Drosophila melanogaster: one gene and its partner. The gene in region 1 interacts genetically with each later gene. Each region holds a gene or a part of one and is shown in the gene's direction. Other genes may lie near its edges.

Evidence for each region.
Region 2: of Mt2 (region 1) and htt, changing one enhances a phenotype caused by changing the other (phenotypic enhancement), as found in Drosophila melanogaster (one study listed by BioGRID).

What each region holds. Positions count from the first base shown.
Region 1 is NT_033779.5:12,094,542-12,098,275, forward strand, and holds Mt2 (methyltransferase 2), read left to right. Parts: upstream 1-1,983; 5' UTR 1,984-2,044; coding exon 2,045-2,105; intron 2,106-2,154; coding exon 2,155-3,131; 3' UTR 3,132-3,146; downstream 3,147-3,734. Other genes in the region: Pex19 (peroxin 19), read left to right, coding at 7-170, 228-471; CG6712 (uncharacterized protein), read right to left, coding at 695-1,879; Ced-12, read left to right, coding at 3,410-3,521.
Region 2 is NT_033777.3:28,694,497-28,699,509, forward strand, and holds the start of htt (huntingtin), read left to right. Parts: upstream 1-1,745; 5' UTR 1,746-1,835; coding exon 1,836-1,909; intron 1,910-2,175; coding exon 2,176-2,433; intron 2,434-2,496; coding exon 2,497-2,713; intron 2,714-2,774; coding exon 2,775-2,904; intron 2,905-5,013. Other genes in the region: snu (snustorr), read left to right, coding at 1-30, 97-428, 488-662.

The sequences.
Region 1 (3,734 bases):
TGACAGGCTGGCGAGGGTGATGGAAACATGTTCCTACCATTCATGGAGGGCATGATGCAGAGCCTGCTCTCGGCGGAGATTCTGTTGCCCAGCATCCGGGAGCTGCTGGAGAAGTACCCCAAGTACCTCGAGGAGAACGACGCCAAGCTCTCCGCTGAGGACAAGGAAAGGTATGCTCGAAATCAACTCGCAATAAGATACTTTTATTGAGAAACCAATACATACAGGTACCAGAAGCAGATGGAGCTGTACAAGGTGATTGAGGGGCATTTACAGAGCGAGAAGACCGAGGATTCGGCCGCCGTGAAGCGAGAGAAGTTCCGCGTCGTGCTGGACGACATGCGCAAACTGCAAGACTACGGCCAGCCGCCGCCAGAGATTCTGGCCGAGACGGGCGGCGACTTGCCCTTCGGCGATCCCACTGCCGGCGTAGCAGCCGGCGGTCCCGGTCCCCAGTGCCCAACCATGTAGTGGCTGACGGAGCACGATAGTCTCGTGGTGTGCCAATTGGTTAACTGTTGAGTGTTGCACATTTTTTAGGCTAAGGCAAATTTGTATTTTATTTTATCACCGACAAAACAATACGGCGGTCGCTAATGGTTATCACCTCTCTCTTCAATCAAGCTATTATTTTCGTATTAACTGTTGGTTTATTAAGTAGTTCTATACCTAAATACAATGCCTCGAAATACACCTAGAGGAAGAAGCGACGTCGCGACTCCATGGCGTGCCGTTTGTTGCTGATTATCCAGGCATAGTCACCGGTCTTGCTGTCGAATGTGCCCTCCTGCAGGGAACGTAGTTTCAGGGTGAACCGCGGCCCCAGTTCGCGCAGCTTTACGCGTTTTCCCTCTTTGGTGAACTCGTAGCGGTGGTGACGGAAGAATATGTAATCTCGCTGATTGTGGAACGTCACCGCTCGGCGGCCGCGGAACTCGGGATCGTGATGGAAGAGGGCACCCAGCATGCGGCCCACGGTCAGACCCAAACGTGTGGTAAAATTGTTCAGGATCACTTCGGGCCTGTGCTTGGTTATCTCCTTGTGATCGCGCTTTATGTCCGAGGTGAGCTTCACGTTGGACAGCTTGAAGTGGGCAGTGGGACCATTGGGCAGATGAATGACCAGCAGCCCATTGGGCTTTCTGCGATCTTCGTTAACGATCACGACGTCTGTGAACTCCTCGCGCTCGGCGCTTTTGCATATCTTCTTCACCGACGACTTGTTGCGAATCTTAACCAGGGCGTTGGGGAATATGCGCGAAAGCTCCAGTCCAAACTTACGCGTCTTGGTCACCGGATTGTCAGCAAAAGTGATCAGCACCTTTGGCTCGTACGAACGTTCGAAGTACGAGCTGAAATCGTCCAGTTGGAGTTCCTTTTGCAACTCCTCGTTGTCGGAATCGTTCAGATTGGCCACCTCTGTTTGGTCCTTCTCTCGCAGGCTCTCTATGGTGTGACCAGGATTGGCGGGTACACCAGCCTTCCGTCGGGCACGGCGCTCCTGCATTTTTTTCTTGTGCTTCTCCTTCTTCATTTTTTTGTACAACGCCAAACGCTGCTCCTTGTTGCGCATCCAGCTGAGGGGATTCAAAACAGGAATTCGTGTCTTCTTGTCGTCGTCGTCGTCATCATCCTCTTCTTCGTCGTCGTCGTCATTCTCCTCCTCATCGTCGTCATCATCCTCTTCCTTTAAATCCTCACTGGCTTCCCCTTGTTTGGCCGTTTTTTTGCTGCTGGAGGCGGCTTCTTCATCGCTGCTATCAGTGACTGGCCCCTCCTGGACTTCCAAATCCTGTGGCTCCTCCTCGTCAAAGCTGGAATCGCTGTCCGAGTCCTGTTCCACGGGCGGAGGGGCTGTTTTTCGCTTAATTTTTATCATTATTCCGAGAGAATCACGAATTCACAAAAATGCGAGCGGCACGTGTTGATATTCTTCTTCTTATACCAATCACACGGAAACGCAGACAATCTGCTGTGTGGGGCAGTGTTGGAAAACGTGCCACTCACAACGTGTAGTTTGTAAACAAAAATATATTTAATTAAAATGGTATTTCGGGTCTTAGAACTATTTAGTGGCATTGGCGGCATGCATTATGCCTTTAATTGTGAGTTCGTCGATCATGATACATGCGAAACTAATATATACTTTTGAAGATGCCCAATTGGATGGACAAATAGTTGCCGCCTTGGATGTCAACACCGTGGCCAATGCGGTTTATGCGCACAATTACGGCAGTAATTTGGTGAAAACTAGGAATATTCAAAGCCTGAGTGTAAAGGAAGTCACAAAGCTTCAGGCCAACATGCTGCTGATGTCCCCGCCATGTCAGCCCCACACTCGCCAGGGATTGCAAAGGGACACGGAAGACAAGCGATCGGATGCACTTACTCATCTGTGTGGACTGATCCCAGAGTGCCAGGAACTGGAGTACATACTCATGGAAAACGTCAAGGGTTTCGAGAGCTCACAGGCGCGAAATCAGTTTATTGAATCGCTGGAGCGGTCGGGATTCCATTGGCGGGAGTTTATTCTAACGCCAACGCAATTCAATGTGCCAAATACTCGATATCGCTACTATTGCATCGCCCGCAAGGGTGCAGACTTTCCATTTGCCGGTGGAAAGATCTGGGAAGAAATGCCGGGTGCTATAGCCCAGAATCAGGGTCTTTCACAAATTGCCGAGATTGTGGAGGAAAATGTATCACCCGATTTCCTGGTGCCCGACGATGTCTTGACCAAAAGAGTGCTGGTCATGGACATAATACATCCTGCTCAAAGTAGATCCATGTGCTTTACAAAGGGCTACACCCATTACACCGAGGGCACGGGCTCTGCATACACACCGCTTTCGGAGGACGAATCCCACCGCATCTTCGAGTTGGTCAAGGAAATTGACACAAGTAATCAGGATGCATCGAAGTCGGAGAAGATTTTGCAGCAACGCTTGGACCTGTTGCACCAGGTGAGACTGCGCTATTTCACGCCACGGGAAGTTGCTCGTCTAATGAGTTTTCCGGAGAATTTTGAATTTCCGCCAGAAACAACGAATCGACAAAAGTATCGACTGCTGGGAAATAGTATTAATGTAAAGGTTGTCGGTGAACTTATTAAATTGCTGACGATAAAATAAAACAAAATACAACATATTTGCTTGCTTATTTTCACTTTAATACATTTATTAGCTAGGAAATTACTCTGCGCTGTTATCATTAAAATATTTATTTCAAATCCACATAATTTTCCCGCCCAGTGTTGCCTATGCCACAAAACGCAACGGTTGTGTGCTGTGTGATATTCCATACTACTTGTCAATTGGTCACACTGCACTGAATTAAAAAAAAAAAGAATATAAGTTTACGCAGAAAAACAATAATAATTGCAATTATCGCTAATTGAAAGAGTGCCAAAATGATACCAAAAAAGACGACGGTTAAGGATTCACACATTGTGAAAATAGCCGTGGAGCGAGAGGACCATATAGCGCAGTTGATAAATCTGGATCAAAGGCATCCGCTGGCAAGTGAGTAAATAGCGGATAAAAACAAAGATTTTTCGCTTGCTGAGCAGCAGTTTTAAAGAGAATCTGCTTTAAACATGTAAAACAAAGTTCCAAGAAGTTAATAAACCAGAATTATGTTGAAAGTAGCAAAGGAACCCATCATAAGGGAGGAACTTCCAACCAACGCCCTTCGCTATGTTTAAGTGTTATCGTGATGTCAGCGCACTCATTTCC
Region 2 (5,013 bases), on another chromosome or scaffold:
TCATCGGCTCTGATCATTGAGCGCACTGAGGTAAGTCGAGAAAATCTATCCTCTTTTGGGAATAATTATAATAAAATTTGCTTACTTCCATTCCAGGGCTTGTTGGATCGCTCCTGGGTGGCTGGCGTCTCGCCCTTCGAGATTCTATTCTCGCACGTGATCACCCAGTTCGTGGTGATGTGCGGACAGACCACTCTGGTGTTGATCTTCATGCTGGTGGTGTTCGGGGTTACCAACAACGGCGACCTATTCTGGGTCATCGTGCTGACCCTGTTGCAGGGCATGTGTGGAATGTGCTTTGGCTTCCTCATCTCCTCGGTGTGCGAGCTGGAGAGGAATGCCATACAGCTGGCGCTGGGCTCCTTCTATCCCACCCTGCTGCTGTCTGGAGTGATCTGGCCGATTGAGGGCATGCCCGTGGTGCTGAGGTGAGTTCTTGTGGTATTACTCTGTTGTGAATGGAAATTTAAAAAATCTTATCCCCCAGATACATATCACTGTGCCTGCCACTAACGCTAGCCACCTCTTCGCTGCGCTCCATCCTCACACGTGGCTGGGCGATACTGGAGTCGGATGTGTACATCGGCTATGTGAGCACGCTGTCCTGGATTGTGGGCTTCCTGGTGCTGACGCTTCTCGTGCTGCGAGCCAAACGCGGCTAGGATCTTCAGATATTACGCTACTTTTAGATGCCTAACTTTAGAACACGATAAGTCGTCCTAATTAGTTTACACCCACTTCGGGTCTTCTTCTTAATTCCACTTTCGAGTTTCACTTCCCTTCGTATCTGCCCAAATGTCATAAATTATTTAAGCACATTCGCAGCTTTCCTTAGCTTTCCACTCGGCACTCGTTTTTCCTTAGACTAAGTTCCGCACTTTCGTAGTTTAAAGCGTAAGGTTTAGGTACTCCTAAATGAAATGTTGTAAATATTTTGTGTCACGAATTCAGTAATCCGTTGCTCTAGATGTCCATTATTTGCAACCCTCTGTACTAGACCTTTTCTCGACGCCGACACGGGCAGTTTATCACATACAAACGCAACTAATTTTATATATTTTCAATGGACTGTGATTGTTTTTTCTACATAATTCACGCGAATACACGTAGGGCAAGCCTAAACAAAAAGAAAACACAATGAAAACGAACAAAAACAATGGTGGGTTTTGTTATTAACATTAAGTAGCTTAAAGCATTTTTGTATGGGTTTAAGTTTTTTAAGGTAAAACATAATTAAATACAATAATGTACGCAACCCTAAAGAGTATGTAAAAATATATTTCAGGAAATATTTTGCGCAGAGCATAAATATTTCACAACGAACAAACATAAGACAATGAACAACGAACAAGTGAAAAACGTTCTTATTTAAGTAAATATTAATGTGAACGCAGTTATGTATAAATAATAATAAAGCGTGAATAAATAAATAAAGTTAAATTTAATTGTTGGTTTACTTACATTTTGAAAAAGATGTTCTCATTTTAACATTGGCGCCAATGCACTGTTACTGTTTTCTAGCATGTCCATAACAGTCTTTTAAATGCAGGAAATAACAACTCATTGTGACCAACTGGCTGGAATTTAATAAATATGTTATCACTTCTAATTTTCTCCAAAACTAAAAAGATAATTTAGCAGGTTAGTTCAAAATTTAAATATTTAACGATAGCTAACTTGAATACCAGGGCTGGTCGCTGGTGTTCCGCTTAAAAGCAGTTGTGCGCTCTGGTAACACTGGCGTTACAGCTGATTGAAATCATAACAAAAGAGCAATGTTTTCCTGTGTTGTTTATGCTTAAAAAGCGATTTTAGGCGTTATTAAGGACGCGAAAATGGACAAATCCAGGTCCAGTGCGTACGACAAGTTCGTTGGCTTCGTGGAACAACTGCGAAATACGGAATGCAGGTGGGACTGAACGGAAATTTGATTGTTTTCGGTTGCATTGAATGTTTTGGGGAGGGGACCGGCAACAGTTTGTTGCTCATTACGGAACAATATTGATTAAATTATGAAGCCCAGGTGATTTCCGGTGGTTTTATTGCCCTTAAGATGAACCTGCCAACTTGTTAGGCCACCCAAAACATTCATTCAACATTGAGCAATAAGTGCATCCGCTATGACGTCATGCCACATACCTGTAATAAAACTAATTTATTTCGAACCCCCCACAGCCAAAAGCAGAAGATCACCTGCTTTCAGCAGATTGCCGAGTGCATCATGTCGCCCTCGCTGGCGGGCCACATCAACTATGCCGCCCACTGCGGCACGGCCACGAATGTTCTGCTGCTGTTCTGCGAGGATGTGGATTCCGTGGTTCGGATGAGCGCCGAGGAAAACCTAAATAAAATACTGAGGTCACTCGAGAAAACCCGGGTCAGTCGCATTCTTATGGATCTGTATGGTGAAATTAAGCGTAATGGTAACCAGAGGTAAGGAGGCAAATATATTAAAGCTAAAATAACAATCTTAAAAAAGAAAAACTTTCTGCACAGATCCCTGAGGATTTGCCTAAACCTTTTCTCCTACTATGCTCCACAAATAAAGGAGAAACACATCAAGTGGTATGCCGTGAGATTGCTCCAATGTATGACCACCATTTCCCAGCGCAAGGAGACGTTGCTCCAGGAGACTCTTTGCGACTTCGTCAAGCACTTTAGCCGCCATATACAACAGGGTCTCAGCGATAGCGAATCCTGCAAACTGTTCGAGGTAGAATAATATCCCTAAACGTCTTTTCTTTTTATGTTTAAGCGTTTGTTGACTTTTGCAGACTTTTCTGGACCAAATTAGCTCCGATTGTGCCGTCAAGCGTCGTTGCTCTGCCCAAAACTGCATGAGTCTGATTGAGAATGCACGCAATAGGAGCCTCATGGCCAGACATGGGGTCAACAAAGTGATGGGTAAGACAGCTTAAATAGGAAATGAATTTCTGAGAGAAATACGAAAAATCCATATGAACACTGCATCCTTACTAGCAACTATAGCAAATGAGAAGTTCGTGAGTGCTGTTATTTACTATTAGAAAAGGAATTTAAATTCAGCAGAATGATACACTTGTTTCAAAACTCTAGGGTCAGCTGTTATTGTTATTTCGCAAAGAGTAACACCATTAAATTTAACAATATTGCAGCCTTAATAACAGCCTCTATTGTTTGTACACTTTTGGATAAACGTATTCACTATTCGCTGCTATCGCTGTTAGTTATTTAACGCATTTTCGCTACGACACTTTGTGTTCAACAGGACGCTCTTTATATTCACATCAATAATGAAAGAGATGTTTAAAAAGCGTGTAACGGCCAAATACTAAGCCTCGCATAGATCGTCATATATATACATATATTGTTAGGTTCGTGCTGGCTCTGCAGCTAAAAAATATTTTTAATATTCTAAAAAGCCGCAAATCCATGAAAAATACCTTACCAAAATGTAAAGCCATCGAACTGCGAACTACGCGAGCGCGGGAATAGATGGTTTTTGGTTTTATTCAAACTCGAATTGTGAATGCAATCACAGCCATGGGTTTGTTTGTCTGTGGCCTGTGGGCGCTAAAGGGGGCGTGGCACAATAAAAGTAACTAGACAGTTGATATAAATTATATTTCTACAGTGCTGTTGGTTACCATGCGCAATCGATGGACGAGCCATCGAATGTACGAATATACACACATATATTTTTTCCAGATTTGTTTTGATTTTAGGCAACGATAGCGGGCAGTTTTTATTTTAACATTTGCTAACTGGCGGACTGCAGCAATAACTGCAGCGGCAAAAACAAAAGTCATGGCAACGTGAGCCATGCGAAAATGCTTAAAAATTGCAAACACAAATCATTTTTTATTGAATTTTCATGAAAATATTATTGGCAAACGTCGACGAAGAGGTAAATGCACCATAGTTACGTTACATTTGCCATCGTCTTTTTATGACCTGCTGCATTGTCCAACAAAAAATTAAGTTCAAACCTCAGAGGAGCTCGGTGTTTGGCATTTGCAAACAATTGAAGTGATATACCGGACTGGGAAAACTAATTCATTTGCTAGGACTACCTTTATGGAAGTCAAAATTCTGACCTCGCCCAAGTTCATATAAATTAAGCTTCGGCTTGACTCTTCCTTTGCTCTTTTCTTGTCCAAATGTTTACCTTCAAATCAACTCCTTTAGCTCCTGTTCCGGTTTCTAGCTCTGCTCCTTTCCCTGCCGCCTACCGGTCTTCTAGTCCTGTGTCAACTTTATGCCACTTCTCGGCAAAGGCACAATGCCAGGCAACTCTTCAGCGCATCCTTATACAGTCTGGCGCCTCTTTTTATGGGCACCCATCATAGTACTTGGGCTGCCTGTGTTCTGGCATGCCCCAACAAACAGACACAAAGTACGGTGCTCAGACCTCAGAACTCAGAGCTCAGAGCCGGGATCCTAGATCCCAGACCCCAGAACACAGACCGCAGAGCCGCCCTCGCCCACGCCATCTCCGTTTGTTTGTCTCCCCGCCCGTAGACGAAATGAAATTTATGCACTTGGACACTTCCATGCAATAATTCATGCGAAATTGAATCAGATATTCATTCCTGTGCAGCTTTAAAGCGGATAATCAACGTTGTAAACAAATGCCGGCCGAACGAGGCCAGCAAAGGAAAGTCGGCAGATGCAAAGGGGAGCTGGCAAAATTTATGTTGCCCACTGACTGATGCCGAGCTAAACAAAAAGTGCAAATTATTTTCCATGGCAACTTGGTATGGCAGCACAAATGGCACAATGACCAATTCATAATCTGAAAACGCTGCTGATCTCTTTGAAAACGTACTCCATGGCCCCCAGATTGTCCACCTGGTCGAGAATGTCAAAGTAATTATTTTCATTTTGACTTCATTTTGGGCTTCTACGTGTATGACAGCTGCAAAATTAATTAATATTCAGCTACAACTGTATATTCGTTTGTGTGTGTTAAAAAATATCGAAACAATTCTTATTTAAATTGTTTGATTTGTAATCAAATAATTGATAACATTT